2 linked regions of the Lonchura striata genome follow. The protein of the gene in region 1 interacts with the protein of each later gene in a biochemical or structural test. Links are inferred from orthologs where the notes say so. Each region holds a gene or a part of one and is shown in the gene's direction. Other genes may lie near its edges. The genes, in order: PDZD2 and CTNND2.

The links.
Region 2: the proteins of PDZD2 (region 1) and CTNND2 form a complex in vitro, tested with the Homo sapiens proteins (2 studies listed by BioGRID and IntAct, with this or other methods). The link is inferred for Lonchura striata from reciprocal best matches to the Homo sapiens genes PDZD2 and CTNND2.

The regions. Positions count from the first base shown.
Region 1 is NC_134642.1:39,144,972-39,155,180, forward strand, and holds the start of PDZD2 (PDZ domain-containing protein 2), read left to right. Parts: upstream 1-6,144; 5' UTR 6,145-6,292; coding exon 6,293-6,771; intron 6,772-10,209.
Region 2 is NC_134603.1:72,727,735-72,738,796, reverse strand, and holds the start of CTNND2 (catenin delta-2), read left to right. Parts: upstream 1-6,265; 5' UTR 6,266-6,358; coding exon 6,359-6,395; intron 6,396-6,507; exon of another isoform or gene 6,508-6,565; intron 6,566-10,633; exon of another isoform or gene 10,634-10,740; intron 10,741-11,062. UniProt on the Homo sapiens protein: Has a critical role in neuronal development, particularly in the formation and/or maintenance of dendritic spines and synapses. Involved in the regulation of Wnt signaling.

The DNA.
Region 1 (10,209 bases):
TATTGATTCGAGCATGAAAAAGTTGCTGTGATAGCTGGGGTCTGGATTTGATGATTCCCAGGAGGATCTTTATGGCTGGTGGCACAAGGAAGGGGATCAGGCACCTCTGCTCACCAGATGCTGGTGGCACAGCTTTGGGAAGAGGCATGCACCCAGGCTGCAGCCAGGCTGGCTTGTGGTTGGATGGAAAGGAGTAGGACTTGGCTGTTGGCACTGCTGAGTGAGAGGGGACCATGCTTCTGTCAAGATTTTTGCAGCATCTTTTGGTCCTCGGAGAGCATCTGGCACAAAAGCTTCTTTTCTTGCAAAGGAGAGCACCTGTCTTGTGCTGTGGGTTGGCTTTGGGTTCAGTCTGTGGGCTGCCACAGCAGTGGGGTGTAAGCCTGAGCCCTAAAACCACTACTTATCATGGTGAGAGTCTTTTTAAGATGAACACCCATGAAAGGCTAATCCCCTTTGTGGGTCCTCCTCAAAGTGAGTGGTCATGTAGTCTCTGCATCATCATGATCCTTCTATCTGAACAGGATTAATATTTTTTCCATATCACATGCAGTATATTAATTGACATTTGCCACCCCAGTACTTTCCCAGTGGAGATGTTCTGTGCTTGCAAACACACTATCTGCAAATTCTTAGTTCACTTTATCCTTGAAAGTGCTAATGAAAAATCTCAACAGACCACACTACTGAGATGTAGGTAAGATAGGAGATTTAATTACCAGAGAGTGTGAATCAGTAGCCTCAGAGGGATTCAGAGCAACCAGGACAAAATCTCTTGGGTAGAAAGTTGTCCCCAGGAACAGGGACTCCTTTTCACAAGACAGGACTTTGGGCCCAGGGGGCTTCCCATTCCCAGTTCTGGCTTGTTTTACTCCAGACAAGTCTAGGCAATTCCAGTTTGGGCATAATCTAGAGTATTTTGTGTATAGGTCTGTACTCAATTCAAGGCAGGTGGGGTGGTCTGGCAGATCTGTCAGACCTACAGCAAGTAAGCAAGGTGGCGGTGACTCCATGAAATTTTCTGAAATGGGTCTTGAGTCTATTTTGTGGAAGTCAAGAGTAAAAATAAATTTCTTCCTAGCATTGAGGTTTCCATTTTTATCAGGCAGGTCTATTTTTTCCCTTGATGAACAGCTTACCACCTTTCTATTTTTTGCTTCCATTTGCACTAGACACCCGAGCCACTCTTCTCACCAACACAAAGCTGTTCAGCTCAGTGCTGTGCTGTCTGCTACATCTGGAAGGAGTATTTCCTATTTATGCTTGTCTGGAGTAATTTTTCCAAAGCCAGAAGGTTTTGTTTGAGAATATCAAATCCCTTGAAAGTACCGTATAATTATCTACATGATTAATTTAAGTGTCTGCCATGGCTCTGCAGTGAACTCAGGGGCGTAGACAAGCAACCCGCAGTGTATTGATGCCCACAGCTTTTCCTGTGGGGAGAAGGAATGGGGTTTTGAAGGTTGCCTGCCTCTGGCAGCGTGGAGGGGGCCGTCATCCTCTATCTCTGGAGGGATGTGTGTGCATGGAGGGGGAGAGCCCTCCAGCAATGCTGCTAAATGAATGATGGATGAGTTTTGCGTGGAATGCAGATGCCTTTGAACGCTCTGACAGCTAACTGCAGGATTGAAGCTGAAGTCATCATCAGTGCCCTTTGCCAATGCAGACGAGATTTGGAGATTTGAGCTACAACTCTGAGCTGCTTTCAAGGAGCCCTGAGATCTCCAGGGACCCTGGCAGTGCTTTTGATCTGGGAATAGCTGGCAAAAGACAGTCCATAATATGTCTACCCAATGTCAAACCTGATAAACAGCTGAGAACAAAACTTTAAATTATTAGGCAAAAAGAGCCTCAAAGTATGATCTGGTCCCATCTTCTCTAGAGCTTGAATGGTTTTGAACTGTATATGGTCACTGAAAGTTGTACCAAAGTTTGCTGTTAAAGCAAAGGGTGTCATTGTCATAACTCACAGATGTTATCCATTAAATGACCTCTTACTGTACTCTCACTAGGACGGTAAATTATGTTGAAGGAAGTAAAAGTAAGAGGGATTGAAATGGAGAAATCTTAATGTCTCCCACAACCCAAGAGATATTGGCTCCAATCATTGTTCATGGCAGATCTCTGACCTTCTGCAGAGACCACCGTGAGTGTTGGAGACTCCAGCAGCTGTGATAGTGTTCCCCAGTGTCTTCATACTTTTCATCCTTCTGAGTGTTACATAACCACTCCCTGCATGTGATTCACATGCATTACTCCATCACAGACAAGAGGAACAGACTACTTTTCTCCTCATGGTCACTGTGGGTCATTTTAAAGTACATGAGGACCTTTAACTTGTGCTCTCAAATCCTACCTGCAATACTTTCTCCTTTTTAGCAGGCCCTAACTTTTTGAATATTTCCTAGTAATTCATACTTTCAAGACTGCCAAGTCATGTCAGAACTCTTCCAATTGGGAAGTTTTGCTGCTGAGACCTTCCAAGCCATGTGTGAGGCAACAGAAATACTTCATATGCCTTGTTACCTTTGTCCCTGCTGACACATCCTGAGACAATGACCCTTTTTTTTCTCCAGCAGCAGGATATTGACAAGAATGATTCCCTATAAACCTTTGAAAATGTTCAAAACCAAGCTGGGTGGGGCTCTTGTCTGGAGCAATGTGTCCCTATCCATGGCAGGGGGGTTTGGGACCACATTCCTTCTTAACCCAATCCATTCTGTGATTCTGTGAAAATGCTGCATCTCTTGCCAAAGATTTGCCACATAGCCAGTCCCTTCTAAGTGAGATATTTCTTTTGCAGTGTTCTGCATTTGTCCTTGATGAACTTTACCCTAATTTTTAGAGTATGTTTTTCTGATTTTTGCCAAAATATTTTAGATGCTAATCCTGTCCTTCAGTGTGTCTGCAGACATGCCCATCTTTGTGTAATCTGCAGATTTAATATGTGTATTTGCTTTCATTGTCCAGGTCACTAATGAGTGTGCTGAGCAAAACTAGACTATACAGATCCAGCAGAGCTCCACTTTCAGTGTCCGTATGTTTCACAGAATGTTATTAATAACTACTCCCTGGGTATGGACTTACAGTAGTCTCATTTAATCATATTTCCCAAGTATATTTATGAGAAAGTTGTTTGAGACAGTGACAAAAGCTATAATGAAGCCCAGATGAACTATATTTGACAACTTTCCATTATGAAAAGAAATTAAGTTGATTTCACATGATTTTATTCTTGCCTCTTCTGTGTCTGCTGCTGCTTATATTTTTGTTCTCTTCCCCATAAATGCAAACTATTTCTCTGTTTGATTTGGAGTTTTTTGGATGATTGATGCTAGATTGACTGATATCACATTTTTCTGCTGCTTTTCCTTCTACCCTTGAAGACAGCCACTGCATTTGCTGTTGTCCTTAATTCTGACACCTTACCTGTTTGAATTCTCACAAGTGACCAGCCATCTGAGATGGTTTTAGCTGGTTTGTAGGAGATTTAAATGGTGGTTTTCCCAACTCTGCTGGACTGGAAATGCCTGAATTGAACTAATCTCTTACTCTGGAACAGGCAGAGAAGAGGGTAGTATGCCTCTGTACTGATATTGTGTCACACTGTGTACTAATCCCCCATGCATAGTTGGTAATTTTAAAAAGGACTAAAGCAAAACTCAAACCAGTGTTGCCTCTTTTTGTGTCATTTTTCAATAACTTTCTCTCTGAGCAATGTTTTTCTTCGTATTAATATGCATATAAAGAGTAACTTTTTTTTATCTTCTGCAAGTTTCATTTCATTTTTATACCCTGATGTTTCTATTATTTTTGCCTATGTGTTCATGCTGGTTTTTTTAAACTTGTGCTCAGTAACCTTTTAGTGTTCTTTCTTCTTGTCTTTGGGGAAAATAAAAAGCTCGTGATGCTGCCAAATCTTCTGATCCTTCTTCATTGAGATGCTATTGTGCCTGTGCCTTTTAAGCAAAAAATATTGTTTCTTCAAGAAACTATAGCTCACCTTGATTTCTTTTTTCTTTAAACTTTTCTCCATGAATTCTCTCCTAGCAGTTTCTTTTTTTTTTTTTTTTTTTTTTTTTTAAATGTACTGAAGCCAGTCATTTCTATTTTGCTGTTCGCAATCCCTTGATTTTACAGGCATTCTTACAGGAGTTTCTTTCCACCTTCTTATCCCCTACACATCTCTCTCTGGAGGCACTTCCTTGCTGATTACTTGACCCCATCCATTATGTGAGAATTTTGCTCTGAAGGCACCAGGACTTTCTATCTCCTACTACTTTCTTTTTCTAGCAGTTATCTCATGCTTCTACTTTCCCATTATCATTGAGTCAGCTGTTATCAGGTTCTTGGTTTAGGGTTTGTTGTGCCCTCCCGTGTATTTTGTTTTGTGCTTTCTGCCTTTATTATTAACTAGATAATTTAGCAGTTCTTACTCCTCCTGTCTTCTGGACCTCAGAGCAAATATACACATCATTCTCAGTGTGCCAAGAGGTTCTGCCTCTACTTTTTCTTTGTTGGTCCACATATAAGCTATGCATTTTTAGATCAATATTCCAGATATAGGTCTTACAACAGTAAGTTCCAATTATGTCAGTTAAATCATTGCTTTTGTCTTAAATATGAGATCTTAAATAAGACTTAAATTCTGTGTTAAAAAATCCCACATACTCACCAGTGTTGCATTAGGTATCTAAAATGCTCAGAGGATTTATCCTTACCTCCTGATCAGTCCATGTCTGTATTATCACCACTTGTTTTAGACATGTGCCTAGGCAGTTTCTGTCTTTATTCTTCCCCTTTTCTTCCCTTTTTTTCCTGCCCTGAGCCTATCTCAGAAGTCTCTCTTTCTGAGCAAGGGGCCAGTTCCTCCTTTCCCAAGCTGATGTCTATCCCTGTTGAGCCACTGGTGTAACATCAGCCTCTTGGTTAAGATGCTGGTGTCCTCCTGTAGAAGCATCACGTGGCCCTGAGCTGTTGTTGTCCTTGAGCTTTGTCCTTGACCTTTGAGCTTGTTGTTGACCCTAAGCTTTCTTGGGTCACTTCTGTCCATCTAAGTTTTGCCCCACAGCCAAGGAGGTGGCAGAACTTAGAGGTTTTGGGCAGCAGCATTTTGCAAGAGCCTCCCTCTACACTAATTCTTTTGGGGTTATAAACTCTTCCTACAGCTTTTCTACCTAACACAAGCCTTTATGCACATCTGCAAGAGCACACCTGCAGACTGCAAGCTCGAAGCTGCTGCTTTCTTCAGTTTTCCTGGTGCACAGCTCACTGAGCAGCATCCACTGCTAGAAAATAAAGCCCTGAAAGAATCCGGTCAACCAGACCTGACTCGGGTCAGGGTTTTTTCTTGTTTCATAGATCCTAATGATCCTGGCAAAAAAAACCCTGATTCATCCTGTTGCTTGCTAACCTCTGCCTCCCACTGACTCCTGGCTGTCTGTGTGCCTCCCTCCAAACTGCAGGCAGTTGGGTGATTCACCTGCCGTACTCCTTTCCCGGGAAGCTGGATAGTCACTTCTCTTAGACGCCTTACCCACAAGGTGGCTGTGCACCACCGTTGCCATGAAGAGAGGGACCCCACTGGCATATTTGCCTTTCTGTTTGCTGCTGCCCATCTCTCGTGCAGCTTGGCGGGGAGCTAAGTCCGGGAAGAGACCGGTTTGAGCCTATCCAGCCCAAAATCACCGGCATGGACGGCAGGGCTGTCAGGAAGGGGGGCTGTCAGGACGGCAGGGCTGTCAGCTTCAGTCGCCGGTGAGGCCGGTGCCCCTCCAGCGGCCCTTTGAGCAGGAGTGTCATCCCCGCTCGGGTCAGAGCCCCGGAGCTGCGGCAGGAGCATCCCCTGGGCTCTGTAATCCGCCTTTCACCGCCAAGGTCAGGAGCTAATGGTGACCTTTTATTCCCTTGCTGAGGAGAGCAGCTGGTGCCCTCAAGTGGTAAATGGCAGGAGGAGAGCGGGCCCTTCTAACCGCGCTGTTTTGCCCTCGCAGGACGAGACGCCGTGGGGCTCGTGGTGGGAAGGACGCTTGGTACCCGACCGAGCGGGGACACCGGCGGCAGGCAGACCTGCACGGCCACAGACGCTGGCAAACTTGTCCCACCAGCCTGTTCGTAGGGACGGCTGTAGCGCCGTGACACCAAACATTCCTTGACTTTGTTCCTGGACAGCTGGAACCTCCCAGAAAATCTCCGTGAGACTACATGGAGCTTGCTTTGGACGTGCAGTCCCTCTCCAGCATGTTCGACTGGGGCCGGGGCTGAGGCCGTGAGGGGATGCCCAGGGACAGCGATGCCCATCACACAGGACAACGCGGGGTTCTTCCTGCCCCTCCTGTGCCAGTGGCTGCAGAACAGCTGGCGGGAGGGGGCCGAGGGAGCCGAGCAGCAGCTCTGCCGCTCGGCCGTCCAGAAACTGAGCGAGTACATCCAGCTCAACTTCTCTGTGGACGAGAGCAACCTGCAGCCAGGGAGCTGTGGGGCTTTGGATACGGAGATCTGCACCATGTACCTGGCCCAAGAGATGCGGAAAAATGAAGTCCTCGGCTTGAGCTTTGGGAATATCCCTGCTCTGGGGGACTATGGGGAGAAGCGCCGGGGAGGAAAGAAGAGGAAGGCGCATAAGGGGCCTGTGCTCGATGTTGGGTGCATCTGGGTGACAGACTTGAAGAAGAACAGTCCGGCTGGGAAGTGTGGGAGAGTGCGCCTGAAAGACGAGATCCTTTCTCTGAACGGGCAGCTGATGGTCGGTGTGGATGTCACTGGAGCAAGGTAAGGGTGGCAGAGCCACCAGCAGCAGCTGCCTCTGGTGCCACATGGTGCAAATCACAGTTGATACTGTTGGAAGTCCAGGAACAGAGGTTTTGACCTTTGCAAGAGAGAGTCATGGATTCATTTTTAAGGCCTTGTAGAAAATAAGTAAGAAAAGCAAATTGATAATTAGCCTGCGTGTGCTACTAACACTTCCGCTGAAAACATTTCAGGAGTCATTGGGTCAAAAAATTACACATCATAATTGCCAGAGGGGCTTTACTAAAATAGGAGCCTTCCTGGTTTTTTATAAAATGGTTTTCTTAAGCAAAAATGAACACAGATGCAGCAGCACCGGAAGATATTTTTACAGGTGCTCATATTTTTTGTTGAATTATTTTGGTTGAGAGAAGTGTATTTGACAGCCAAGTGTTGTCTGAGACTTTATCGAAGCAAGACATTTTTTATTTTCCAGTTTGGAACAACTTCATTTTAATAAATTCCCTTTGACTTTAATACATTTGCTCTCTTCTGATGTCTCCTGATCCAGAAAACTTGAAATCTTTAAGAGTTCAAATAAAAAAATTAGGATTCTTGTAATGATACAGATTGTTCTTGTGGTATTTTTTTTTTTAAATTCAGCTATTCTGTAAATTCAGTTACTTTCCCAGTATTGCTCTTTGTGGGCTGGTACACTTTCTCACATTACCCTTTGCAAAGGCAAAACCCTTTCTCTGCTGTAGATGAGGATGTAAACATTCATTCATTCCTGAGGTTACAATGTACCTGAGGGCATGAAATTCTCTCCCTCTTGCCAAAAGGGAATTTATTTTGGGGGTGGACACCTTTGGAAACCAAATCCTAGTGAAGTGACCCCAACAACGGGATAACTTCACTTGAATGTGGCAGGAGTTTGGGCTGACCATCACTCCCAGTTCTGACATGTGGCAGAATAAAAGCAGTGACTCCTCAATCTGTGGGTGTTGGGCAGCTCAACCTTCTGTGGTTTTACAGGTATGATCTGTAATTCCTAGCTTGTAATTCAGTAAGTGTATACATACTGGTACTGTGGCAGTATCGGTCAGTGGCACCTCCAAATTTGAGAGTGTTTATGGCAAAAGGCACTTAGTTTGCTGTTTCCCCTTTGTCAGATGTCACTTTTTCTAAATACAAGGGAATTGCTTGCAGTGGGCAGCAATAATGTTATCTTATTAAAAATGCAAAATGAGAGTTAATAGCCAATGAAGCCAAGAATCTTGGGCTATCTGTTCTCTTTTGGCTTATCTCTGAGGGCTTAATATGGGGCTTGTTCCTTTTGGAAAGTTCTGTTATTAAACTGGCAAGCTGTGACTGCAGCTAATGGGAACTAAGTGCTCCATTTTCCTTACTTTTTTGGGCCATTACAAAGACACAGTTTTAGTGGTGTGGAGCCAGTGTTTTTAAAATCTTGTTTTAGAATATTCAACATCCAATTTAGGCCAAAATTTAGGACATTTTGTAGTCAAAACCCATTTTATTTTCAACATCCACAGCATCCTTATGTAACTTACTATTTGACTATTTGTCTAACTGCTATTTGACAAAGGTGATGTTGATGGATGGCAGTTTGGGACCTTGAGGATGCTCCCAGTTTGGAGAGCTGGCTTTTTCCTATGTGGGAGCTGGCTGGCAGCTCCAACCCCATGTTCCCACATTGTGCATCTGGAGTGCTTGAGGATGCTTTGAGAATCTTTCTCCACTGGGGTGCTCAGAATAATTCTGTCTAGCTTTATAATAGTATGAAAGGCAACATCAACTTGCCTTCTGGGAAGACTGCTTCCAAGAATAAGCTTTCCTAGAGAATTCCATATTGCTGCTATGGTGGAAGTAGCAAAGCCCTTTTCCCCTTAGTTTTTCAAAGAGTTATTGGGGCAGGACAGCACACTGACTAGTACATTGTCTGACAGCACACTAGTACTGACTCAATTTCTGACTGCCTAATTATTCCCTGGCTGAGTGAGAAACATTTCCAGGTCGATACAAGGGGCTGTGGGTGCTCTGATTTGTGGTGTGATTTACTTAGTGGGGCCTAGACATGATCAGTGAAGGTAAAATATTGCCTTAGTTCCTGCAGCACCAGGTTAGACTCAGCAAGCAAAATCACTGCTTGTGTGTTTATTCCACGCCTGCCCAGTGTTCCAGGGCAGCCCTATCTTGCCTGATGAAGAAATTTTTCAAACTGATGCTATGGAAAATCTTCTGATTTATTCCCTTTACAATGGAGGAATTGGCATGGGGGTCTCACAGCTCCACGTTGCAGTAGGGTTTGCAGAAGTGTTCTCACATACCCTGGGCTTCATGTAACCTCAGCTTTAGTTCCAGCCTGCCATCCAAATCCTCCCTGTTCCAAGGGGCTAAACTAATGCACCAGAAAACAAGAGAGAAGAGGTGAGGGTACACAGTCCTTTCTGCTATCCTATGGATGTGGTCAGCCTCTAGAGGATGCAGGGGAAGGTCAGAGGAGCTGGAACAGATTGGGCAGCCCTGGACAGACAGGGCTGTTTTGGCCTTGCTTGGTGGGCCCACAGGTCCTCATGTCTCAGAACGGTGATGGGATCAGACACAGTAAGAGCAGCAAAACACTTCCTGGAGGAGCCAGCTGTGAGTACCACTCATCTCTCTCTCCTTGCTAAGAAAGCTGAATATGACTTCTTTAAAGAAAGGTTATTTATTTAAATTCCACATGATTTTCATGTAAACAGCAGAGATGGGTTGATTATTGCTGAACTTGTTTATTTTATTTTTTTTTCCTTTTCATTTAGAAAAACACTATGGAGTAATAAAGTCATCAAAGCTTTTTGCTTAACAGGGTATTATTACATTAGAGAGGAATAATGTAGGTGGTGTCATTTTTGGTGATGTTAGTGATTGAGGGAAAATTATTGCTCTCTTTAGAGTTAGCAAATTGTGTGTCTATCAAACACAATTGCAGGGAAATTAGCTGTATTGGAATATTGAACAAAGGTTAGTCAAAACTCTGCATATTTATTTATCTATCTTCTGTCTATACAACTGTATCTGCAAAATGCATGGGTTATGTTCCCCCCGACAACAACTTCCTATGTATTTTGGATCAACTCTACTCATTTTGGGCTATTACTCACTTGCTGAAGGGATGCTGTTAGTATTTCTAGAGATAACAGATGGATCCTTCATTTCTTGAACATAACTGAGTGGGGCTTCTTTGAGAAAGTCCTTGGAGCACTGCAAAAAAAAAATTTTTTCATTAATATAATTCAGTTTGAAATATTTGATTATGAATTTCATCAAGCATAGCTGCAGTGCTTGGACACAGCTACCATATACATTTAATCTTTAAAATCAGTGCTAAGTAGATTTTCAAATTCATTTTTGTAAAAAGCAGAGTAAGATACATCACCAGTGTTGACAGTGTGGTAGAAACATGAATTAGTATTATAA
Region 2 (11,062 bases), on another chromosome or scaffold:
ATCTTTGCTAAAAATTGTATATCCATGGAGCTTCAGAGGTGTGGGTTTTCATAAGAGTTGTTAGTGAAACTATCAAATTAAATTTAGAGTATGGTTCTGAAAACAAGACAAGAAGCTCTCCTAAGCACTGAAAAAACACACCAAGACTCTCCAGAAAATTAAAATCACACTTGTTGGAAAAGGTAAATGTGTGTCACTTTTGGAGCATGGTGTTCATGGAGTATAACACTGAAGTAAAACTAGCTTCATCTTTGCTGATACTTACTAAATATAATAGAACACAGATTATAAAGTGACCTAGCATTCCATAATTCCATAATGCCAAGTCATCAGTTTTGAGTTCAGGGTAGGTAATAGCTCAGCCTTATGCAATATGAGGTCCAACTAGATAATCAATCTACTGGTTCCTTGAACTTTGACAGTCTTTGACACAGTGGAAAGATACAAAGTAAAACCCTGGCATAAATTGATTAAATAATAGGATAATAATTGTAACAAGGTTTCACTAACTTTTATTCAAACAGCATAATTTTCTGAATCTGTGTCAAAAATTTCTGCATGACTTTTTGCAGGATGGTCTTTTTTGTTGAGATGGACTTATTCAATATACAAATACAGAAAAGAGAAAAAATAATCCAACATACAGTATAGTTTTGTAAGTGTTATACCTTAATCCTAATGCTTTTATAGCTCTAAATATATTAAAGGATGTATCCTGGGAATTGCTTGTCATTTCAGTTGACAATAATAGAGATAAACATCTTGATATACAATCTATAGATTACAATTTGCAGCCAAGTTGACATTGTACTGCTAGTAATAGCAGGCAACATAAAGGCAGAATGAAATTACTTTCTTTCATGGGGTTAATGTTTACAAATTATTTCAGACCCGCTCTTTATATAACCTATTAATACAGGGTATATGAATTTACTACAGTAAACTTTGTTTTACTGGATGCTGAAAAGAACAATTTTTACACTACATTAATTGTCATTTTAACTTCTGGCCTTCAATCTTCCAAATAACAATATAAAAAAAAACCCCAAAACAAAAACAAACCCACCCCCCCAAAAAAAAAAACAAACCCAAAAAACCCCCAAAAACTCCACAAACTGAAAACCTCAAGTCTTCTTTCAATCAGATCTCTTTAATTGATAGGAAAAAGCACTTACATTGTCTGTTACCTTCTTAATATTTTCACTAAGTTTTTCTGTGAAGTTAAGTAAAACTCCAAGTAGCTCCTTAATCTGGAACACTTAAATGAAGTTTTGTTATTAAAAAATGTAGTTCTCTCACTATACCTTGAATAGGAGCTCTGATTGATCGTGACTGACACACACCATTGAATTAAATTGAAATTTTTACCTTTTGTATAATTTCATGTGAAAATCTGACATGCTCAAAATGCTAAATTGTTTAGGAAACCAATGGCAGCTATTCACTAGACAATAATTTTTACAATTATTTTTTTAAGTAAGGTAGGTCCAAAAGTATTTTAATACAGCTGTTTCAGAGAGATTCTGTTCATTACTGCCTATTTGGTCATCAATGGATGAAGCTGGGAATAAGAAAATCTCAGTTGGGTCCTAAGGCTGTGAATTGTCTTCAGTACATAAAAAATCAACTCTCCAATGCAAGTACACATTCATTTACTAAATCTGCAGGTACTACAAATTCAATTGTATCTTCCTATTGCCAGTCAAGCTTAGCACTTCAACAATAATTTACTCATAATCAGACTGAGTCAAAGCCAGCTGTGCCTCAGAATTGAAAATACCTTCTATTTATTTAGGAGACTTCTGTTTAAAAAATATTTTCATGAGATAAGAATGCAAGCTTTGCAAATACAATCATGCAAACCTTCTCTTTTCATGTCATCATTGTGGCATAGAAAATCATCTTCATCCCAGGATTTACAGGTACTTTGTTGTTATACAATATTTTGCAACAATTTAGGAGAAATGGAAAATACACATAGTATTACTATCATTCAAGGACGATTTGACTTTTTAAAGATAACATCAAAGTCAAATAAAGGAGAAGAAATTTGGACCAATTATTTTAATTCATTACCAGCTTAGTTTCATTAAGATACCATACTGTGTGACTCAAGAAACATGTTCTTTCCTATCTGAAATGTATTTCAGTGGATGTTGTCAACATTTTTTTAATAATTTCACCTTGAAATAATTCTTAGAAAGGGATAAGACAGTAATTGCAAGAACTTCTTTGAAATATAGCTGTAAACTAAAAAACTATTTATACTTGACTGATTTTTCAGTTTATTAAAAAGAGCAAAACCAAGTTTTCCCAACTTTATTCTAGATTGCCTAAAGATTGTCTGAAACATGCTACTATTACATATACCTAGTTTCACTTCAGTTACATTTTAGTATGGAAAGTTCCCATTGACTTCAGCATGAAAAAAGAAGTTGTTGGACCTGGTCCATGACAGAGGACCTCAACAATCTTCACATGAATTATACATTTAGATTCAAACATAATCTTAAAGAAAGTCAAAACAGAAAAGAAATGTTTTCCTTTCTGTCCAAAAATTCAAGCTTCCAAACTCCATTCCAAGAAGAATCAAACAAAAATTAAATATGATTTAAGACAGAACATGCAGACACAACTAGTATATAGATATCCCATATTTTAGAGGACTCGTCCTGACTGTTGACGCAACTGTTGACTAATGGACTTCTCCTTGGGTACCTCCACTGCTAGCTTCATCCTTTACCTCATGATTAACTTTTTCACAAAGAAAAATACATATTTTTAGTTAGCAGGATGGGAAAATTATCACTGGTAACCAGGTATTCCAAGATGGAACCCTTGAGCCTAAACTTGAAAAATTGGTTACTGCTATTGTTTTTCATAATACAGTCATTTGGAGGACTAATTATCTGAAAATTCTACTACTCCATTTAATTCTATTCATATTACGACTTCTTTTTTTCTGTTTTCTAAAATTTTTACTTGCCATTTCTTTGATCAAATAGAAATGGGAGGCTCAAGAACCTTTGTAAATCTAACAGGTAAATATAAATGGCAAAGATGCTTTTACAGCTCCCATGCTAGAAAATATCCACCTTGATATGATAATTTCCTTTTATTTTTCCATCTTTCTCAAGGAAAAAAATAAAAAATCTCCAACTTGAACAAACACTTAGGGAAGTTAACCAAAGATAAGGACAGATACCCCACTTCTAGGTACAGACCTGAGAAGCCTGAGAAAACAGACTGTCTATATCCAAGAAGTCTGGGACTGACCAAAAAAGTGAAGAGCTTCCACCTACATAAGCTTTTGGCTTGTCAGAAGAGGTTTAGTCTGAGAATAAAGTTGGCAGACCTCTTCCAGAAGTTGTGTGGAATGCAACCTCTTCCAGAAGTGGATCTCACTGCTTTCCACATTCTTAACCCTCACTGATCTGCCTTACTCTTCCTCCGTGACAGCAGCAACAGCAGTAAAAAAGTAATATTGAACCCTGATTTAATTCCCTTGTTATGTTTCTCCACATCCATAAGCAGGGCTTGGTCCTGACCCCTTCTCTGACCTCACCTGGTATCAGGGAACATTGAAATGTGATGCAGCAGGGAGAATCAGAGAGGAAAGTGACAGGAAAAGGAGAAGCTTTTTGAATCTTGCAACATCTTGAGATGAAATCCCTCTCATGCAAAACTGTGATGTGAAAGGAGGAAACTTTGTGAGAGAAAAACCGATTTCAGACACTTCCCAGATTCTTGCAAAACCCTTCTGTCTCCAGGCCTCACTTTCCCTACAGAGAGTCTACATTTCAGCTTCCATACTAACTAGTCAGGTCAGTATAGCCAGCTGGGTAACCTTTGCAGTGTGGGGAGAATCAGATGTCTTAGGTTCATTCTTCACTAGCCCACACTGCTTATCCTACAATTAGGTCAGATGTGTACAGTCCCCAGGGCCATGAACTGTCCGTATTACATGGGAATATTTGAGGGGGAATGGAAGGAGGACACAGCCTACTTCTAGTCTTTCAATCTCCTTTACCTTTATAGACAGAAAGACATTTCGGCTCTGAAAAAGAGCCTGGGCTGCAGAAGGTGGATCACATGATGCTATAGCATATCTATGATACTGTAGCACCCAGTAATTTAATTATCAAGTACATCTTGAAGATTAACTGTATGACAGTGACTCCAGGCAACTACTGAGTGATCCACTACTTTCAGTTCAGAGTTACATGTCTGTCTCAGGCTGGGAATCACAAACCCAGGGGCTTGCACTTTGCAGAAAAAATGAACTTTTGGTCCAACCAAAAGTTCGGACAATGGGCTAGTTGGTAGCTTCTCTAATCGAGTCACGACTGGATTGGCCACTGTGTTTTGCCACCAGCCAGCTCCCCTCTATAGTTGCAACTCAGTAGGTATCAAGACATGCCAGACTGCAAGCTGACAATGAGGTTTTGGGTTTACTCTAGACTTGAGCCCAGAGGTGCACTTCTTACAAGTCCTATTAGTTGGGCAAAATCTGGATTGGCATTGCGGGGTGCTGCCAGGCTGAATCACCCTCAGCTGTAACTTACTGATTTTGTCACAGGTGGGTGGGCCACCTTCACCCAACTCAGGGAAAGGACACATACTAGTCATCTATATGGTCCAAAACATATGGTAATAAACCCCCCTTGTTCCTCCAAAAAGTGACCTCAGGCCTAAAATAAAGCATTCTGGCTCTGAGAAGACGCAGCCTCCGGCCTTCCCGTGACATTAAGGGAGGGGTAGTCACCGCAACCACCCAACGGTGAGAAGTGGGACCCCCGGTCAGGTGAATCTCCTGCTCGCAGCAGTTTGGGGAAGCCACGAGAACGCCAAGCGAGAGGTGGCAGCAGCGAGTCGCCGTGCAGCCCGGTGGCGGCGGTCGGGCCGTTCCGCTGTCGCCTCGGCTCAGCCCGGCCGCAGGTACCGCTGCGGGGCCCGGCATGACTTACCCGGCGGTGTGGGGCTGGAGGGGCGCGGGGAGGAGGGATGGGAACGCCGTGTCCCGCGGGAGCCGGGCCATGGCCCAGGGACACGCGGATCCCTCTCTGCGGGGCAGGTGCTGGGACCGCGATTTCGGGCAATAAATGACCGGCTGTAGGCCCTGGCCGGGCGCCTCGGCCGCGGTTGTCCCCAGTGCCGTGCTGATGGCTCAGCCTGCTGCAAGAGTGAATTAGCAGAGGTTACCCTGGGAAACAACCCCCAAAAATTGGGTGGTTTTGTTTAGGTACCAAAACTCCGAGCGGCGAGTTGAAAGGAGCTATGGAGTGGTAACTTTCAGGTGAGTGCTGCAATTGCATTCCACACAAGTTTCTCAACGAAGGGTTAAGCGTGCGCAGGAATAAAACATGACTTCCATATTCCTTACCCTATTTGTTCGCAATAAGATTTCTGAAAACACAGTAGGATTTCCACCTAGGTTTCCCAAGCATGGGAAGAGAGACCCGAGGTAGGCGCGAGCCAGGGCACGAGCTCTGGCTTCCCTGTTGTTGTCACCGTTTTGGCAGGTCGACCTCAAGTTCCCAACCCATGACAGCGGGAACCGCGGTTACTGCCAAGGGGCTGCTCCCCATCTACGACCCCCGCCCAGAGTGCGCTCCCACACCTGCGCCCTCCGCCCTGCCTCCCCTTCCACAGTAAATCAGAGCCGCCCCGGCCGCGGGGCTTTGAGGAAACACGGGGACGCGCCCCTCTGGGGCGAGGCTGGGCGACCCGGCCCGGCCCGGCCCTACCTCAGCCCCGCCCGGCACAGGCGGCAGCGCCTCATCGGTAGCGGGGCCGCCCGCCCCCCTCTGTTCTCCCCAGCGCCGGCTGCTCGGCCGCGGCGGGCGCGCTCCTGCTGGGGAGGGGACGGGCCGGGAGGGGCGGAGGCAGGCGGGAGGGAGGGAGGCAGGGCGGGCGGGAGCGCGGCGGCGGCAGATGCTGCGGCGGCGGCTGTGTCTCCTTCGGCCACATCCCGCGGCCGGTGTGCCCGCCCGGCGCGCTGCGCTACGGCGCCGCTGCGCAGCCTGCCCCAGCCGCCACCGCCGCGGCCGCAGCGGCCCCGCGCCTCGCCCCAGCGGCGGGGCGGTGGATGCCGAGCCCTCCTCGCCCCGGCAGCCAGCGGGCAGCTGTCCTGCGGCCGAGTCCCTCGGAGCCGGATCGGCGCGCTCGCACGGACGCGGGGACACACGGGCGCACATGCACGCCCTGGGGGGGGGCAAGCCGAAGATGCTGCAGCTGGGCAAGGTCAGGACCTTGCGGTGAAGCCCGGAGCCGTCGCACGCCCCCCCCCGCCCCCCCCGCCGCTACCCCGCTTCATTCTCGCTTGGCGGACTGAGGATTTGCTGTTGGGTTTTGGTATATGTTTGGGAGCAAGCAGGCTGAATCGGCGCCGATCGGTGAGTACGACAGGCACCGTAATGGTGCCAGGTCCGTCCCCCTCCCCCCACACACCCTTCCCGCCTGCGTGATATTTCTTCTTGGTGCGGGGTCCTGCGCTGCTCCCCTCGGCGAGGCAGCCGGGCTGGGTTGGGCTGCAAGGAGCGGTGTTTATGCCCTCAGCCGAAAGGTAACAAAGTGCGTTATTTTCTCATGGCTCTTTCTCCCGGGCCTCCCCCTCCATCGCTTTCCTCCCTTTCTTGCTACGTTAGTCGCTTCTTATGTAGGGCATCGGCGATACCGTGCCTCCCGACGCCCTGCACTAACGTTCTCGTTACGGCGGTGAAGTCATGGGCCCAGGGAGAAGAAGGAGGAAGAGGAGAAAGATGAAGGGGCTCGGGGACCCGCGGGCGGGGACAGCGCCCGGCCCTGCGCGAAGCCTGCGCCCGCTGCTGCGAGTGTCTGTGTGTCTGTGCGTGTGTCTGTGTGTGTGTGTGCGGAGGGGAGTGTGGGGTGTGTGCTCCTCTTTTGAAGCCACCGTCTGCGAAATCCTGCGCTCGAGGAGCGGGCGGAGGGGGTGGGGAGGGGAGCCGCGATGTGCGCTGTGATGTTTCGTTAATCTGTATTTAATGGCTGAAAGGAGAGATGCTTTTCTTTCCTTTACCCTTACCTTACTCTTATTCTGGTGTGTAATGTGCTTGCATCGATCGGTCAAATCGTAGCTTCAGCTGAATCAAGTCACCACAGAGGAAGGAGGTGCAGTGGCACAGGCAGTACATGTAATACACAAATTCATCTGGCCAGGGATCTTTGAAAAAAACGAAAAAAAAAAAACGTTAGAGGGATAATTTTGGAAACCATGGTAAATTTCCCCTGGAGGGACTGGAAGGATGAATACACAGAAGAGTGTGCTACAGTATCTTGTGCTGTTACATTTTCTTATACTTTGTTAGTGTGTGCTTTGTTTGGATTCAGGGTGTCACAGTTAACCCTATGCTTTACAGAAAAGAAAAACCCAAAACTTGGAAGAAATATTTAGAAATGAAGAGGCTCCTTTATTGAGCACCCAGCTCTTAACTTTAGTGACTGTAGTAACTGATATGGGTCCCTTAAAACATGCCTTTTTATTGGCAATAACAAGGTAAAAACTTCACGTGGTGGGTTTATTTTCAAAGTCTTTATAGGTAGCCTATATGTAAGGTGAAAACAGTGAGTCAACCTGAGCTTTGCTTTGTAGCAAACCTTTCCATAGGGTACGTCAAGACTTAGGTACCTCAAGACAAAGGGAGGACAACCCAGAATTATATGGAGTTTATGTAAGTCTGTTGTGTCTTTTGCAAAATCAAGAGAGGGAAAAAAAATCTTTAATCATTCTGTACTTCAGGATATATTCATCCTGTCTTAAAAAATCAACTGATTATGTAACTTTTGTAGGCTGGGCTTATCTTTTTCAGACAGCCTAGTTAGCAATGTAAAAATGATATGGCATAAAGGGGTTAAGGGCAGGTCTCCAAAGAAAGCTGCTGTATATCCTACTTGTGGGCCTCTGAGACTCAAGTGGCTTTAGGGCTTTTGTTGTTGCCTTTACACAGGTTGTCTGGGGAGGAGCCCCAACACTAAACCCAAACACGTGGAATGACTGTGATATTTAAGCAAAACATTATATCATGATCAAATAGCCTTGTAAGACTAATTTCTGAGCAGGGCTGGTGACGCTGTCTCATTTGGGTCTGTGAATGACATGATCCTTTGGGAGCCTTGACTGACTATCAGCTGCAAAACTGCAGAGAACTTGAGATTGATCATCGTCATTAGTAAGAAGTTGATTAATAGCTTGGGACTGGGTTGAATGTGATTATGTTGAATACTGTAGTTCCAAAAGAGAAGATCACATCTTGATCACGTTGTTCAGAGATGTTTTTTGCAGTCTTATATAAGAGAGGCTTGGAAAAAAAAGGAGTAGCAGGCTGTGCTATGTATACCTACTGAGGGAAATACATCCCAAAGCTGCTAGTAGGAAGCTAAGTATTTATTTCCAAATGCCAGTTGCATGACTTTTCATGGATTGTAAGAAAAATGCTTTTTTTGGGAGAGAGGATTCCAGCTACAATTCTTGCGTTCTGTTTTTCAGGTGCCTTAATAAATGTTAAAAGCAACAAATAGCTCATCAGTGACACAAGCCACTGTCTTTTGCTGTGGGGTTTTTTTGATAACAACACCAAGATAATTTCATCCTCACATAATGAAATCTAATAGAGAGTTGAACAATATAGAAATAATAGCAACTAGAAAAAAGATTTTTGCATAATTCTGATTTGTATAATTTACCTTTGCTGATGGATGGTAGCAATTTAATGACTATGATTTGGTGTTGAGCAATTATTGCTCAATACACATGTAAAATCAACTTGTGCTATAAAAGAAGTGCTGGAGCAGATTATTTTAAGGGTTTTAAGATAAACCTTTTTAGTAGGGGTGTAGATTGGCATGTAAATGGAGCAGATAACAGAATCAGTGGAACTCATAAGTGTTAAATTTTGCACTAAATTTCAGGTACATTTTCTATTTCATGGTTCAGTGTGATATGATTTTTAACGCTGATTACTTGTGGAAATTTCAGCATATTTTTGTTGGATTTCAAGCATATGTTTCTATCCCAAAAGCAGCTGTTTTCAGGAGTATCAGCAAGATAAGGAAAATACATTATTACAGTACCCTTCACTTAAATAAGGACCTGTGGTTTTGATGCCCATTGGCTGTGCTTGTAAATCATTAAGAGTTTGACATTTGAAATTACACCTGAGATTTAACAAAAATGAAAGTGATTGTTTTTTCTCTTTGAAGTTCTCACTAAGATCCTATTAGAGGATGAATTTTGGATGCTTATTTGCCTGCACAATATTAAGTTTAGTAGTAGAATTATTAATAAGATACAAGTAAACAACATACCTTAATGGAGGCAGCAGTTTTAAATTTAGAACATTTATTTATTGACAGAATGACTCTCAAATTGGGCTAAACCACATTTGCTCTTAAAGAAGAGATTGCTTTTGTCATGACAGAAGATATTATACCAGGAAAAACATTGCATTTTTGGCCTTTTTTAATGCAAATATATCAGGAAAAGTATTTTCTCTCATATGAATAGGAAGTCTCCATGCAGGACAAGTAAGTAGTCCTCTGCTCACACTGCAGAAACACATGACCCTTTGGCTAAATGGCTTCTTGGTAGTTAGGTTCACCTGGAAAGAAATCTGAATGGACCATGATACACTGAAACAATTTCTTCTATCCCCTTGGGATGTGCTAACTTCATGTAGTAAATGGGTTGTAAAAGCAGATTGCCCGACCAGATTGTCTGGCGTTATGCTGGACAAATTTAAATTCAATAGTATTGAAAAGGAAATATGTTATTTGTTTCTATGTAAGCCAGTTGCCATGTCAGTACATTTTTTTTTTTCTTATATAAACTGTCAGTTTAGTCTAGAACTAAGAAAGAGAGAAACATTTCATTATCTATGAGAGAAAGCATTTAATATTTATTTAAATTGCTCTCGGCATGGTAACTTCTAGTGCATTCTACTGGCTCTTAATCTGCCTATTCTACTTTACAAAACTCTAGTATAGTAATAAGCAATAACTTCAAGACACATAAAGCATAGAACAGAATAAATTGTCTTGTCCTTTTGGTTGCTGCCTATTTAATTGAAGCTTCTGAAAAAAAACCCAACAAAAACAAACAAAAAAACCACCCAATGTAAACTCCCCCAAGAAACCCTCCAGGTTTCTAATGAAGCTTTTAAACTTTGTACTTCTCAGAGCTGCCAAAATGGTATTAACTCTCTAAAATTAATATGTAAAATAACTCTGTTTGATGTTGCATTTTGTTTTGGTTTATTGTGTTAATTGTATCAATTCTACTATATAATGAACTTTTATTTACTACTTGTTTTAATTAATTTTAAGAAGCCACAAATATGTAGAGCCTAACTTGTAGCATCCAAAATCAAGAATATCTGAGACCCAAAAGGGCTTTACATAAAACATTCTGTAGAAGAGGATTTTGCATTTTCCCCTCCTATGTTTTCAATGTTTTTGACTTCCACTCTTTTTTCCTTGTCAAATTTACAATTGATTTCATCATCTTCCAAAAATCTTCACAGTAGAGCAACTTCCTTTTGGTCAAGATAATTACTTTTACTGATAGTGTAACTTAAATTTCCCTGCTTAATGTAACATAAATATCTTCTTTTTTCAGCTATGGGCACATTCTCCTATTCAAATACTGTCAGTTGATATTCAATTAAGTAGCCAAGATATCCCTTTAAGGCTGAATTTTTGAAGGGAGCCAAAGGAAATAAACAGGTAGTGTAAATATATATTCTGACGGGATTTTTGATTGTTTTAAACCCACTGAATAAGACTTAACCCTTACACGTTCATTTATTTCAGATTTCTATTATGTAGTTTCATTCAAATTACTAATATGCTTGGGAAAATAATTAGGAGTAAGTTTCAGTCTGGTGGTAGAAAATTGTTGTACCTTTTAGCTCTGCTAGGATGGCTATTGGATGTAATCTTCATCCTGTAAAAGCATGTGCTTTCTGTCAGAATCAGTAAGCAGTTTGGAAGGGTGACTGGCAAGGATGGTCTGAGAGGTAACTCAAGGCTCCAATGAGTTTGAAGG